Arabidopsis thaliana: one gene and its partner. The protein of the gene in region 2 interacts with the protein of the main gene of each other region in a pairwise test. Each region holds a gene or a part of one and is shown on either strand. Other genes may lie near its edges.

Evidence for each region.
Region 1: the proteins of AMT1;1 (region 2) and AT1G72180 interact in a protein complementation assay, tested with the Arabidopsis thaliana proteins (one study listed by BioGRID).

The regions. Positions count from the first base shown.
Region 1 is NC_003070.9:27,159,448-27,168,632, forward strand, and holds AT1G72180 (Leucine-rich receptor-like protein kinase family protein), read left to right. Parts: upstream 1-3,372; 5' UTR 3,373-3,728; intron 3,729-4,549; 5' UTR 4,550-4,626; coding exon 4,627-6,989; intron 6,990-7,092; coding exon 7,093-7,301; intron 7,302-7,395; coding exon 7,396-7,757; 3' UTR 7,758-7,983; downstream 7,984-9,185. Other genes in the region: AT1G72190 (D-isomer specific 2-hydroxyacid dehydrogenase family protein), read right to left, coding at 8,011-8,079, 8,172-8,384, 8,511-8,552, 8,686-8,783, 8,864-8,981, 9,077-9,148. UniProt on the Arabidopsis thaliana protein: Receptor kinase involved in the perception of C-terminally encoded plant signaling peptide (CEP) and subsequent regulation of root and shoot development.
Region 2 is NC_003075.7:7,855,093-7,861,504, forward strand, and holds AMT1;1 (ammonium transporter 1;1), read left to right. Parts: upstream 1-3,090; 5' UTR 3,091-3,127; coding exon 3,128-4,633; 3' UTR 4,634-4,826; downstream 4,827-6,412. Other genes in the region: AT4G13500 (uncharacterized protein), read right to left, coding at 1,895-2,039, 2,486-2,555, 2,620-2,782. UniProt on the Arabidopsis thaliana protein: High affinity ammonium transporter probably involved in ammonium uptake from the soil, long-distance transport to the shoots and re-uptake of apoplastic ammonium that derives from photorespiration in shoots.

The DNA of each region.
Region 1 (9,185 bases), on a different chromosome or scaffold from region 2:
TACAAATACACAATTGTTCTGTTTAGCTAAGGAAAACTGAAATGTGTGATGATAAAGATCACAGCACAAAAAGCTTGGAAGTACATATCAATCATCTTCCTACCACTTCCTATACGCTAGTCTTTTTGACCCTTCCACTCAAATTTATCAATTATGGTTTCGACCGTTGACTCGAGAAACTCTGAGATGGGTCATGGTGATGGGAACAAAAACTTTACTTCAGTCTCTGTTCTCTCAGCTACAAATCAAATATTGAGTGGTCCTCTTCTGGAAACCTTGATAGGTCTTACTCTTACCTCAGTAGCTGCTGAATAGTCTTCACAGGTTTTTACGATCTTAGTATCCGTTTATTGGCCATAACCGATACGGTGTAGTAGATTTAAGAAGTTCTTTCGGAAGTCTCACACGCTAAAGGAATAACTTTGCAATTTACTCTAGTTTATCGATATTTCAAGAATCAAAAGATTACTACTCGATGTCTAGAAGTTTCCGCTATGTAGAAAACTTGGTTGTTTCAAAATGTCGTTTTGATGGTTTGGCCTAAAATTTAAAGTGGTTTATCCACTAGTAGTCTCTAAGTGTTGAACCGTAGAACAGATTTTCCATTTATAGAGAGACAATACAATGTGTCATAGATGAGTGGACCACAAGATAGAACCACAAAAAAAAATTTGTCTCAACATGGTCACACGTGCATAGTACACGTACAGCTTTCGTGGATTCTATTCACATGGTATCAATCAAAAACACATACGCGTGATAGACTCATCTTTTTCATGTGCATGTCCCGAAAGTGACGTTGCTCCACTGGAACTCACCGCCTAAAAATCCCATCTTCAAAACGTTTCTCTTGGCCCTCGATATAAATGCATTGGTTACCAAATTGTCGATATTATTGCTTCAATCATGATTCGGCTTCATTGGTATATCCGTATATATCCCTTGTCACGTAAGGCAAACACATAAAATATATGATAAAAACAAAAATTAATGGAGTTGAATTTAGTGTTACCTATAACGGGTATTAATTATACAAAAGTATGTAAATTAGTAAAATAGTGAATCGCCCATGAAGTTGCATAATCTTGTCTTGTAAACAAATGTATTGTAATGACGTGACGTTGTGTTAGTAGAGGTATGGAGACAGATATGCTCTTCTGATCAGTTTCTCGTCCGATCAATATTATTATCATTGTGGGACGGTCCTACTCGACAAATTATAGAGACACCCACGTTTACATTATTGTAAATATTTATATTTTTAGCTAACTTCGGGCCTACTGTCACTATTTGCTAGCTATATTTTCTTCAAAATGAAACCGTCATCTATATTCAATGTCCTGTTTCAAATAAGCTCAAAATATTTTGGTCAAAATTACCTTTACTTGATGGAATTTTGCAATGCTTGATACATTATGTTTATGCAATTTTATGGTGCATTATTATATGTATGTAAAGTATCTAATTTTTAAGTATACTCAACAACGAATAACTAAAACATAGATCATATCTAACACTAGTGTTTGTCTCTAGCGATAATAAAACTTTAAATTCTCTAATGTCTCTACCAATAGAATATTTTTGTGTGATATATATGTATATATAGAGCAAACAATGTGGAAAGCGACTGGGAAAATAAAGGAACCAAATGAGAAAGGGAAGGGATACAGCTGGGGAAGTCAACATCCAAATCAAAGATCTTTTGATTCTCACTCACATATCCCTTTATTAAACCGTATCTCTTCCCATTTAAACCGACACAAGAAAATTTATTAGGTATCACGGTTAATACTTTATTATTCAGTAGAAAGTATTAGTATTTAAACAACTAAAGAGAAGTTTTTTTTTTTTCTTGCAATAGCTAAAATTCCATTTTGTATACTCTTAAAAAAACTATGTTAGTATTATTGATTTTGGCCAAATGTATGGGGGGATTTTTTTTTTATAGTATTCTCATCTACTTTTTGTTTTTGTTATTGACTGTCTCTGATTTCTTTCTCGTGTATTGTCTCACTTTTTAAATCATTATCTTAGATTTTTCTTAATAAAATAAAGAAGCAACATACTATATACTATTCTAACATGTAGGATGATAACCTTGTAAGGGCCATAACTTTATGGAATTTCATTTGTAAGTTTGAATAATTACCAATCGAGTGAAGTGAGCATGAAAACAAAGTGATTCAGTGAAAGGGGTACATTTATAACCACATAATCATCATATACTAACCATTTCACTATCTATTACCGTTTCTAAATATTTTACTGTATTATGGTCCTTTAATTTGTGTTTTAACTTTTAGTGGCTAAACGATGCCATAGGACCCAAGGCCATCACACATTGATATCAATCAGAAAGAGAATAAGCAATTATAAGTTTTCATAATAAATATGTGATATAAAACTTGGAGATAAATCAGAATGGGATTCGGAGCATAAGGGGATAACATTAGAGAGATGGATGTAGAAAGAAAAGGACATTGAGTAGGTTAGACGATTCTTATCAAACTTCACTTAAAAGGGTAATCGACCCAACAACATTTTAGTTCTCTCTTTCTTTTTTGGTTCTTTAATTTTAATTTATTTTCCAGACTGTAAACGAATATTAACACTACAGAAGAAACCAAAAATGTTTTTTTTTTCGGCCTAACTATTTGGGATCAATACGATTCGTTGCTTATTTTTTTCTAGTAACCTTCATAGGTTTCTCCAAGCTTTCATTATTTATTGTAATTGATCTCCACTTTAAAAGTAAAATCCAATAAATCAGCATTTCCTAATTATATACTAGTAATATTTTTTCACTTTTATTTTTATCATCTTATATATAGGAACTATATGAATGTAAATGTTTTCACGTAACGTTTTGGACATATACAACTAGTAGTTGCTACTAATTCCAATAGGAACAATTATCGCTATGACAAAAACAAATATCAAATAAGATTATTTTCCAGACAATGACGTATCATTATAATAATAAATTTTAAAATGTTTTATTACAATGAATCTCCACTTATTATCAATCCATCTAGAAACATTAACCGAAAGATGAATGTTTTTCTACATCCATGAAACTAATTTTTTAGGTCAATGTCTGTTGTTGATCCTCTTTTATATATTAGAAAACTATATAAGCACCGTTGGATTTTCTTAACCTGAGAGCGACGCTAACTATAAAGAAAGATCATCATAACATATTATATGTCAAAATCAGTATAGTCAGATGATTTTTATTAACTTTAAAAGTTTTTACAACTTTCACGAACATGAATTGTATGGTGAGAGAAGCTAGCTAGAGAAATAGTTGATTTTTTGATAAATGATTTAACCTTTTTGGCTCCAAGTCTCGACGACAACTTTCTCTTGTCTCTTCTCACTTCTCTTTCCTCTCTCCTCTCTTCTCAAATCTCTCTCTCTTTCGTATTTCTTGGAGACATCTTTCTCTGGAACTGTTCTTCATCGAATTCTATCTTTTGAGAGAAACTAAATTAAGTTGATAATCGAAGAACTTCCTCGAAATTAGGACTTCTTCTGCTTTTTGTTGTTTCCTAGAGATTTTCCTAGAACGTGGTCCAAGAAAATCACACAAAAAGGTTCATTCCTTTTTTCTTACCAGAAACCACAAATCAAAATCATCTCCCCTGTCTTTGTTTGAAATCTCTCAAATTTAAGAAGGATCATCCATTCACTAACCTGAGATTTTGGATAGGTTTCATCTATTTCAGGTACGATAATTCTTCATTATATTTTGTTTAATCCCGTTGCTTTTCTTGGTTTTAAGTTTTGAATCTTTAAGCCTCACATATTTGTTTTCTTTACTCAATCTAAGGTTGTTTTATTTCCAAAGATTTAAAGGATAGATTCTGTGAAAAAGTTTCTATAAATTTCAAATTTTCAAATGTGTAGGTTACTAGCTCTACTAATAACATAATTACTTTATCCACTAACTACAATCTGCATGACTCATTTTTAACTTGATTGTTTATTTAATTACCTTTTTAATCATTAATCCTTGATAGATACTCAATTCTCAATGTTGTGTTGTTCTTTTTTCATTAAAATTCAATGCTTTTAAAGTTTATATTCACAGATTTAGAAGGAGAGAGAGAGAGTAAAGATAGATCATTTGCTTTACTTTCAAACAAAATAATTAAGAAACTGAAAATTTAGGAGAAGGATAATAAACTTTCTGCACTGTAATGAGTACCTTTAAAGCTCACTTTTGGAGTTTGTGTACTTAAGCAAGCTTAATATGTCCATCTACCATACATGATGTATAAATGTATCACAACTAATTTATGATTTATACAAAACTGTTCACAAATCACATGCACCCATTCTTCTTACAAAATCTTTGCTATGATTGATTTTTTATATATATAGTAATATACGTGCATAGAATATAATAATAATAAACAGTAAACACAATTGGAAAACCATAATACTATGAAAATCCCATACATTAAAATATCAAATTTATTTTGAGTGGATTATTAATTGTATAGTGGTTAGTTTGTTGATTTCATATCTTTATTTTTCTATGTAGGTGGGAATTCCAGTGCATCGACCATGATCAACACCTAAACTACAAATTGACCGTTTTGCCCTTGGGAATCACTATAAATGTCGAGAAGACCAGACCTCCTACGTGGCAGCGTGGTCGCCACCGTGGCTGCCACGTTTCTCCTCTTCATTTTCCCGCCGAATGTTGAATCGACCGTTGAGAAACAAGCTCTGTTTCGCTTCAAAAACCGCCTCGACGACTCTCACAACATTCTACAATCTTGGAAGCCTTCCGATTCACCATGCGTGTTTCGCGGCATCACATGCGACCCGTTATCCGGCGAAGTCATCGGTATTTCTCTAGGAAACGTAAATCTCTCCGGCACCATTTCTCCATCAATCTCAGCTCTCACAAAGCTCTCTACGCTATCGCTTCCATCTAACTTCATCTCCGGAAGAATCCCGCCAGAGATAGTCAACTGCAAAAACCTTAAAGTTCTCAATCTCACCTCCAACAGACTCTCCGGAACAATCCCAAACCTTTCTCCTCTAAAGTCCCTAGAAATTCTCGACATCTCCGGGAATTTTCTTAACGGAGAGTTTCAAAGCTGGATTGGGAATATGAATCAGTTGGTTTCTCTCGGTCTTGGCAACAATCACTACGAAGAAGGTATAATTCCTGAGAGTATTGGAGGTTTAAAGAAACTTACTTGGCTGTTCTTAGCTCGCTCCAACTTGACCGGGAAGATTCCAAACTCGATCTTTGATCTGAATGCTCTCGACACTTTCGACATCGCGAACAACGCAATCTCCGATGATTTCCCAATCTTAATCTCAAGATTGGTAAATCTCACCAAGATTGAGTTGTTCAACAACAGCTTAACAGGTAAAATCCCTCCGGAGATAAAGAACTTGACTCGTTTACGCGAATTCGACATCTCTTCGAATCAGTTGAGCGGGGTTTTACCTGAAGAACTCGGAGTTTTGAAGGAGCTCAGAGTTTTCCACTGTCATGAAAACAACTTCACCGGCGAATTTCCTTCTGGTTTCGGCGATCTAAGTCACCTCACTTCTCTTTCGATTTATAGAAACAACTTCTCCGGTGAATTTCCGGTTAACATCGGCCGGTTCTCGCCGCTCGACACGGTTGATATATCTGAAAACGAGTTTACTGGTCCATTTCCAAGATTCTTATGCCAAAACAAGAAACTACAATTCTTGCTCGCCTTGCAGAACGAGTTTTCCGGCGAGATTCCGAGATCTTACGGCGAGTGCAAATCTCTATTGAGACTAAGGATTAACAACAACCGTCTAAGTGGTCAAGTTGTTGAAGGATTCTGGTCTCTACCGCTTGCTAAGATGATTGATCTCAGCGATAACGAACTCACCGGAGAGGTTTCTCCTCAGATTGGACTTTCAACAGAACTGAGTCAGCTCATTTTACAGAACAACAGATTTTCCGGCAAGATTCCTCGTGAGCTCGGAAGATTGACTAATATAGAGAGGATTTATCTGAGCAACAACAATCTTTCCGGCGAAATTCCGATGGAAGTTGGAGATTTGAAAGAGTTATCATCTCTGCATCTTGAAAACAATTCATTAACAGGATTTATCCCTAAGGAATTGAAGAATTGTGTCAAACTTGTTGATCTGAATCTCGCTAAGAACTTCTTGACCGGAGAAATCCCTAACAGTTTATCTCAGATTGCTTCTTTAAACTCGTTGGATTTCTCAGGGAATAGGCTAACAGGTGAAATCCCGGCGAGTCTTGTGAAGTTGAAGCTGAGTTTCATTGACTTGTCTGGAAATCAACTTTCAGGAAGAATACCACCGGATCTTTTAGCGGTGGGAGGATCCACCGCGTTCTCACGTAACGAGAAGCTCTGTGTTGATAAAGAGAACGCTAAAACAAATCAGAACTTGGGGTTGAGTATTTGCAGTGGCTACCAAAACGTGAAGAGGAATAGTTCACTCGATGGAACACTCTTGTTCTTGGCTCTTGCAATTGTTGTGGTAGTACTAGTGAGTGGTTTGTTCGCGTTGCGTTACAGAGTTGTGAAGATACGTGAGCTTGATTCGGAAAACAGAGATATCAACAAGGCGGATGCGAAGTGGAAAATCGCGTCTTTTCATCAAATGGAGTTGGACGTTGATGAGATTTGTAGATTGGATGAAGATCATGTGATTGGATCTGGAAGTGCAGGAAAAGTGTACCGTGTTGATTTGAAAAAAGGTGGCGGGACAGTGGCGGTTAAGTGGTTGAAGAGAGGAGGAGGAGAAGAAGGTGATGGAACAGAGGTCTCTGTTGCGGAGATGGAGATTCTTGGAAAGATTAGACACAGAAACGTGTTGAAACTCTACGCTTGTTTGGTTGGAAGAGGTTCTAGATATTTGGTGTTTGAGTTCATGGAGAATGGGAACTTGTATCAAGCTCTTGGCAACAATATTAAAGGCGGTCTACCAGAACTGGATTGGCTCAAAAGGTACTCTCTAGTCAATAAGAACCAGTTTCAAAATGGTTAATCATGGATCCAAGATTATAAGAAAGAAAAGTGATTAATTTGTCCCTTTTTGTTGGATAAACAGATATAAAATTGCGGTGGGAGCGGCAAAAGGAATCGCATATTTGCATCATGATTGTTGTCCACCCATCATTCACAGAGATATAAAGTCAAGCAACATTTTACTTGACGGAGATTATGAGTCGAAAATCGCAGATTTTGGAGTTGCAAAAGTTGCAGACAAAGGATATGAATGGAGCTGCGTTGCTGGAACTCATGGCTATATGGCTCCTGGTGAGTTTCCAACTTAACTATAAACTTTGGTTCACAAGATGAAAACTGGGAACTGATTCTTTTTTGTTGTAATTGTGTGATATGATCACTGCAGAGCTGGCTTACTCCTTCAAGGCAACGGAAAAGAGTGATGTGTACAGCTTCGGTGTGGTTCTTCTAGAGCTAGTTACCGGTCTTCGGCCTATGGAAGACGAGTTTGGAGAGGGGAAAGACATTGTTGACTATGTCTACTCTCAGATTCAACAAGATCCGAGGAACCTTCAAAATGTTTTGGACAAGCAAGTTTTGTCCACTTATATAGAAGAAAGCATGATTAGAGTTCTGAAGATGGGTCTTCTCTGCACTACGAAGCTCCCGAATCTCAGACCGAGTATGAGAGAGGTCGTGAGAAAGCTTGACGACGCTGATCCCTGTGTCTCCAATTCTCAAGACACAACTGGAAAGATTACAGTATAGATTGATGATTCACCTACCACGTTTTAGTTATGGTTAAGACTAGTCACTGGTCAAAGAAGTATCAGTTTGTTCGAGACTTGAGTAAAAGTACGAGAGATTGGTTTTTGCTTATTTACTAATCCGTTGTACTAAAAAGTTTGCAGTGAAAGGTCGGAGTTATCAGAAAGAGACTTGGATTAATTTATATTAACTACTGTGGGTGTGTGTTACAGGATATTATTCTTGTGACGATAATACACGAAAATGTTACCTCTTAATTGACGAATTCGATTCCGGTGAGAGGAAGTCCTTCATGCAACTGAAGCGCGAGGTCTCCGACAATCTACATTTAACAACAGTAAGAGTTTAGAATCCATTTCCAACCAAATGCAGAAGACATATCAGAAAGAGTGAATCTTCCTTGGATGAGTTTACCTTGGCCATGGACCTATATGAATATTCGGTAACTCCAGCGACATGAGGGGTTATTATAACGTTTTTGAACTTCAAAATAGGATCATTTGGATCAAACGGCTCAGACCACGCCACATCAATCCCAAGGCCTCCTAGATGACCGGACTCCAGATTCTGGAAAGCTGATTCATAGTTAATAAGACCACCTCGGGCAATATTTACAAGAAGAGCACCCTGAAACAACCAAAGAGAAGTCAACAGTCACCAGTAATCACAAAATAATTCAACTCCGTTGACGACAAAAAAAAAAAAAAAAAATTCAACTCGGTTTTTCCAAATATGAATAGCCCCGGTAATCACCTTTTTCATTGAGCATATGAACTCCTTATTCACTATTTCAGCCTGAAAATGTCATCATGTAGAAGAAACAATAGCCATATTATCTAAATTGCAGATATATTTTTCACTGCCAAGAACAACTCTTCATATTCATTTGCTTGACAAGTTTATGATGAAGGAGAAGTGGAAATATTACCGTTTCTTTGTTGAGCCTCAAACAAACAACGACTATATCGGCTTTGCCAGCGAATGTGTAAATGTCTTCATGGCTACCTTTCTCATCAACTAGCCTGGCTGAAGATATAAGTTAACAAATTACTAGACCTCAGGATGGTTTGTCAAGGCAAACAGAGGAGTTAAAAGAGAACCCATACAGTCTGAGTCGACGATAGAAGCAGGCCAGAATCTTTTCGTGGCTATTACTCTCGACCCAAATGGCTTCAACCGTTTAGCCAGCTCTATTCCGATGTTTCCATATCCTAAGATAAATACCTGTATAATAGAAAGAAAGAAAAACAAACAAACTTTGTTTAGGGATATAAGCCAAAAGATATCTAATGCAGATTTAAGATCACTCTAAGACTCACAGTTTTACCAAGAAGCGTGTCACCGGTTGGTTCTCCAAGTAGTCTATTTCTCAGAGATATTTGCATTTCGTTCTGCAACATGTCGTACGAATTACCTTTAGCTAAGAAA
Region 2 (6,412 bases):
ACATGTGTACGAATTATTTAGTTTGTATGGAGAAATATTTTTGGTCAAGCGATTAAAGTTCCATTTTTTGTGGATTTTTTTTCGCTAGAATTTAATTACGAATATTTGTTTTGTAGAGTTAACAACCTAAGAATCGAGATATATCTCGACATCGATGATATAAAGAAAAAAAAAGGTATAGTATATATTTTTAAAAACATACACTTATTGTTTTTAGTGATGATACTGGTAAAACACTTTCATGCAATATTATTGAAATACCACTTCAAAGACTAATTTTCGGTATCGATAGAGTTTTAGTTCGTCGACGTCGAGAAATTTTATATCCTCTTCGATTTCTTTACAGTTTTTATCGATTTTTTTTGTATATACTTCTAATTTTCTTCTCTCTATATGACTTTTCTCTCAATTTCTTCTTTTTCATATCTACTTTTTAAGATATTTTAAAGAGTCGTGAAAGAGCATCCCTTCAATATGCTCATGCCATTGGTATTGAATTCACCAAAAGAGAAGCCTCTCATCAAATAAGTTCTTCAATCCCGAAACTTGAGCTTAGTCTCCAAATCCTTTGAGTTAAGATGTCTTATGACCCTCGTCATTTATAAATTAAACTCAATAAAATTGATGTCTACACTTTGATCGGATTGAACAAGAACATTGTCATGTTCACTTGCAATATTCACATAAGCCTTTATCGGATTCAGTTGTCCGCAAATATTTTGATATTTACTCGATGAAAGATCTGCTATAAGGGTGAATAAATTTGTAATTCAAGCCCCATCACAAATCGCGGTAGATCAACTGCATCTAGCTTGGAAATCAAGAGTACTATATGCTCGTTGACGCCTTCATCAAGACCAAAAGTAAACTGTACATTGTTGCCTCTATTCCCCAATCTTGGAATCTAAATATCTCTTGATCAATTTTTTATGCTTGGTTCTATCATATAGTTACTTTTTAACTTGATGAATTTCCAAACATGTTTTAGGAAAACTACTTTGTGAAAATTTTATATTATATAAATAGAAAAGATAATTTAACGGAAAAGAAACATTAACTTTATAGCATGTGGTATGTGGATATTATGCTCACTCTCAATTAGTCAATTAAGATATACCAACAACAACCTGGTTGAGATATCACAGAAATTATCAATTAATATCTTATAAATGAATTCGAAATATGCTAAATGCAAACATAGTTTTGTAAGTACGTAATTTATAATATATTAATACTCAAATCTAAGACTTACTTTTGAAAACAAAAGAATATCTTGTCAAATTGACACTTTTTAATGTTCAAAAGAGATAGTAAGAAATTTCGCCTAACCAAGAAAACAATAAAAACAAGGAATTTCAGTCTCAATACTATATATATTTTTCTGTTATTCACTTATATATTTGGATGTGATAGAATACTTTTTTAAGAACACACATATCTTATCTTCACCGATATATTAGCTGATACATTTTTTACATTCCTTTTTATTATTATTATTCTTATTTATTTTCTATTCACATGTACTTACAAACAAAAACTTAAAGACTTTGCAATTTGCGTTACGAATATTTTTCGTCAGGCTGTAATTTGAAAAGTCTTCTAGATGATTTCAAGTCTCTGCTTAATGTGCCAACTAGGCTCTATGTCACTACTTTGTGTTGTCTCTAATTCTCATTCTTCTTGACAAGACCAAACATATCACTAATGATGAAGAGATGACTAATATTTGTTTATACATTTGCTTGTAATGAAGACATGTAGTATAGCAAAGCACCATATAATATAGTGATAGCATTCTATTAATTTGTTCTTTTTTACAGCCGAAGAAGAAGAGTATAAGAAACATGTTTAAGATTCAGCCTTAAACAAGTGAAGAAAAAACAAAAAGAAAGGCTCAACGAATGGGAACTTTGATCCAACCATTGGCAAAAGCAATGGCTAAGATGACGAATGGAGTTGACATACCGAATATGATAATGTAAGGAAGAGGCGTCTTCATCGGATTCTCTCCTTCTCTTTCTCCAACGCTTTGCCAATACCTACAAAATTCCAATGCAATCCTCATCCATAACCATTTCTTCAATCACAATTGCATGTTTATGAAAAATGAACATGCAAGAATTTAAGTTCTTTTTCTATTTTAAAAGAGTTTAGTTCTTTTGACTAAACTACAACCCAAATATTTTTATTCTTTTGCTAACACGGATTTGAGTCTGGATATTGATACAATACTAACACAATGTCACAAACCACCAGTCTACATGTCATTGACACATACAAAAAAAAAAACTACTTAAATTCTGCAATGGAGACTAAAATTTTTGTATTAAATTGGTAACCTACATATCGTTTTGTAATTTTCCATGTTTTCATCAATTTCCTAGGTTTGTTTTTCTGTGATTTTGCAAAATTACATTACCATTCTATGAGTTTCTGTTATTTTCTACAATCTCATGATGAAAATTGAGAATTAAGATTAACTTACTGTTCAGGTTCTTCCTCTTTGGTTATAAACTTTTTCTTATCTTTAGGCTTCACTTCTCCATCTCCTCCACCTTATGCAATAACCAAAGATTAACAAAATTTACATCTACAAACAAATAAAAGATATAAGAGTACCTAATTTGGCATGAAGCTTGAATTCTGGGAATCCTAATGGTGATGGTGGACAAAAGAATTGAGGTAAAGCAAGCAATGATGAATATGAAGAAGATGATGAAGTTGAGGAATCACTAGCCCTGTGGCTAAACGAAGAAGAAGAAATTCGAAATTTCGCTGCCATTTCCAACAACTATATGGATGTGATAGAATATTTTTACATTTTATTTTTCTGTTATTCACTTATACATTTGGATGTGATAGAATATTTTTTTCTGAACACACAGATCTTATCTTCACCGATATATTAGCTGAAGCCTGATACATTTACATTCCTTATTTATTTTTTATTCACATGTATGTACTAATAAACAAAACTTAAAGACTTTGTATTATGCGTTACGAATATTTTTCGTCAGGATTGAAAAGTCAACCCTAGGCCTTTAGCTTCCTTCTTTTATATAAACAGAGAAACAAAACACTTTCTTTCTCAGCCTCTCTGTTTCATCTTCTTCTCTAAACTCTCAACATGTCTTGCTCGGCCACCGATCTCGCTGTCCTGTTGGGTCCTAATGCCACGGCGGCGGCCAACTACATCTGTGGCCAGTTAGGCGACGTCAACAACAAATTTATCGACACCGCTTTCGCTATAGACAACACTTACCTTCTCTTCTCCGCCTACCTTGTCTTCTCTATGCAGCTTGGCTTCGCTATGCTCTGTGCCGGTTCCGTGAGAGCCAAGAATACTATGAACATCATGCTTACCAACGTCCTTGACGCTGCAGCCGGTGGTCTCTTCTATTATCTGTTTGGCTACGCCTTTGCCTTTGGATCTCCGTCCAATGGTTTCATCGGTAAACACTACTTTGGTCTCAAAGACATCCCCACGGCCTCTGCTGACTACTCCAACTTTCTCTACCAATGGGCCTTTGCAATCGCTGCGGCTGGAATCACAAGTGGCTCGATCGCTGAACGGACACAGTTCGTGGCTTACCTAATCTATTCCTCTTTCTTAACCGGGTTTGTTTACCCGGTCGTCTCTCACTGGTTCTGGTCAGTTGATGGATGGGCCAGCCCGTTCCGTACCGATGGAGATTTGCTTTTCAGCACCGGAGCGATAGATTTCGCTGGGTCCGGTGTTGTTCATATGGTCGGAGGTATCGCTGGACTCTGGGGTGCGCTCATCGAAGGTCCACGACTTGGCCGGTTCGATAACGGAGGCCGTGCCATCGCTCTTCGTGGCCACTCGGCGTCACTTGTTGTCCTTGGAACATTCCTCCTCTGGTTTGGATGGTACGGATTTAACCCCGGTTCCTTCAACAAGATCCTAGTCACGTACGAGACAGGCACATACAACGGCCAGTGGAGCGCGGTCGGACGGACAGCTGTCACAACAACGTTAGCTGGCTGCACCGCGGCGCTGACAACCCTATTTGGGAAACGTCTACTCTCGGGACATTGGAACGTCACTGATGTATGCAACGGCCTCCTCGGAGGGTTTGCAGCCATAACTGGTGGCTGCTCTGTCGTTGAGCCATGGGCTGCGATCATCTGCGGGTTCGTGGCGGCCCTAGTCCTCCTCGGATGCAACAAGCTCGCTGAGAAGCTCAAATACGACGACCCTCTTGAGGCAGCACAACTACACGGTGGTTGCGGTGCGTGGGGACTAATATTCACGGCTCTCTTCGCTCAAGAAAAGTACTTGAACCAGATTTACGGCAACAAACCCGGAAGGCCACACGGTTTGTTTATGGGCGGTGGAGGAAAACTACTTGGAGCTCAGCTGATTCAGATCATTGTGATCACGGGTTGGGTAAGTGCGACCATGGGGACACTTTTCTTCATCCTCAAGAAAATGAAATTGTTGCGGATATCGTCCGAGGATGAGATGGCCGGTATGGATATGACCAGGCACGGTGGTTTTGCTTATATGTACTTTGATGATGATGAGTCTCACAAAGCCATTCAGCTTAGGAGAGTTGAGCCACGATCTCCTTCTCCTTCTGGTGCTAATACTACACCTACTCCGGTTTGATTTGGATTTTTACTTTTATTCTCTATTTTCTAGAGTATTATTTTAAATGATGTTTTGTGATACTTAAATATTGTTTTGGATATTTTTTTGCATTTCAGTAATGTTTTAGATGTACAGTTTCATGGGGTTGTGATGATAATATCTATGTGGTCATTTGTGTTCTCTTTGGAGTTTTTTCTATAACGCTTTTTTCAAATTTTATGATCATTATTTGCTGCATTCTAGATAAGCAATTAGGAATGTGAAGCATGGACTAAGTAAAAGCCTGACCGTTTTTAAGTTTGGACTTTTGATATAGCTCATACTTTTTTGATATTAGTTCATACTTATTGCTTTAAATAGCTAAAAAGTCTAAAACAAACCTTGCATTGACGCAATAGATATAAATAACTCGAAGTATTGCTTTCTAGAAGCATTAACAATTTGGTAAAACGAAGTTGAACCATTTACTCAAGCATAATAATCAGAAATGACAATCTTTCATGTCTGATGCAAATAAATAATAATTTATGGAAATAATTTCTATGTCTTACATCACTAATTAGACTTTTAGATGCTTGCAAGTTTGAAGTTTCAGCAGAAGTAGGTGCTTTTACAAACTCTTTTTTGTTTTAATTTGATAAAGTGTGTTTTTACAAACTCTGTTTTATTTTATTTTGAAAAAGTGTGTTTTTACAAACTTTCAACCAACCTATTCACGAATCTCTAATTTCATTTGTCCACCACATGAAATAATGTGTTTATTATATTAGTGTTATTTAAACTCAACGATTTTGGAGATTCGTACGTACCTTGTTGCCGCAACTAAAGATTCGGAGTATCACAGTTATTATATTAACAAATGGATTCACAAAGTAGATCGCGAATTACTTGAAAGTTGGAACTCGTGATAATGTTGTCGATACCACTAAATGGCAACTTCGTACATATGTAAAAAAAGTCAGGGTATTTGGGTGCTTTTCAAAAAGATGGAAGCATGACATGAGTGATGAGGCAGCTCCTACAAGTTGGAAAGAAGATATTTTGTCTTTACCTCCAAATTAAAAAATTGGCATTTTTAAATATCAAAAGGTGAAGAAGCCAATCAATTAGTATATTTATTTGTATTTTTTTTTTTTTTTCAATCTCTTTTACAAGTTTTAAGGAACTTAATGGCCAGCACTTTGATTTGATAGATACACACTAAATGAAAAAGTTGACCAGATGGCTCCGGTACTCGGAAACAAATTGCATGGAAATTTTACATAATTAGGTACACACATTTCAACATTTTGAAGAATATATTTGACTGTTTTGATTTTGCAGTTTCAATTGCTTTATGATTTCTACTCGGTTATTTATTGCTTTCCTAAATTTTATTCTGTGTATCTTACTTTATTATTTTTTAGAATTTAATATTTGTTGCTTCTATTCTCAATGAATATACTCAACAGATGAAATAATTAATAAATAATTCCAAACATTTGAACGTTAAATAATTAAATAGTCTTGACCATTTTAATATTTTTTCTAATTGTAACATTTTCTTTAGTATTACTAGGTTATGATTATCATTACACGTTTGGGTTAAATATGTTTTTGAACTTTTGGCGACAGGCGAGTCACTTGTTTTATAAACTTAACTTATACTAATCATTTAACAGGCTACATGTACTTTGCTATAGGTGAGTCATGTAACTGTTTAATTAGCTAGTGTGAATGTGTGATCGACGAAAAAAAAAAATTAGCTAGTGTGACCATATTACTTATACAACAACAAACTAAAAACTTGTCAAACTA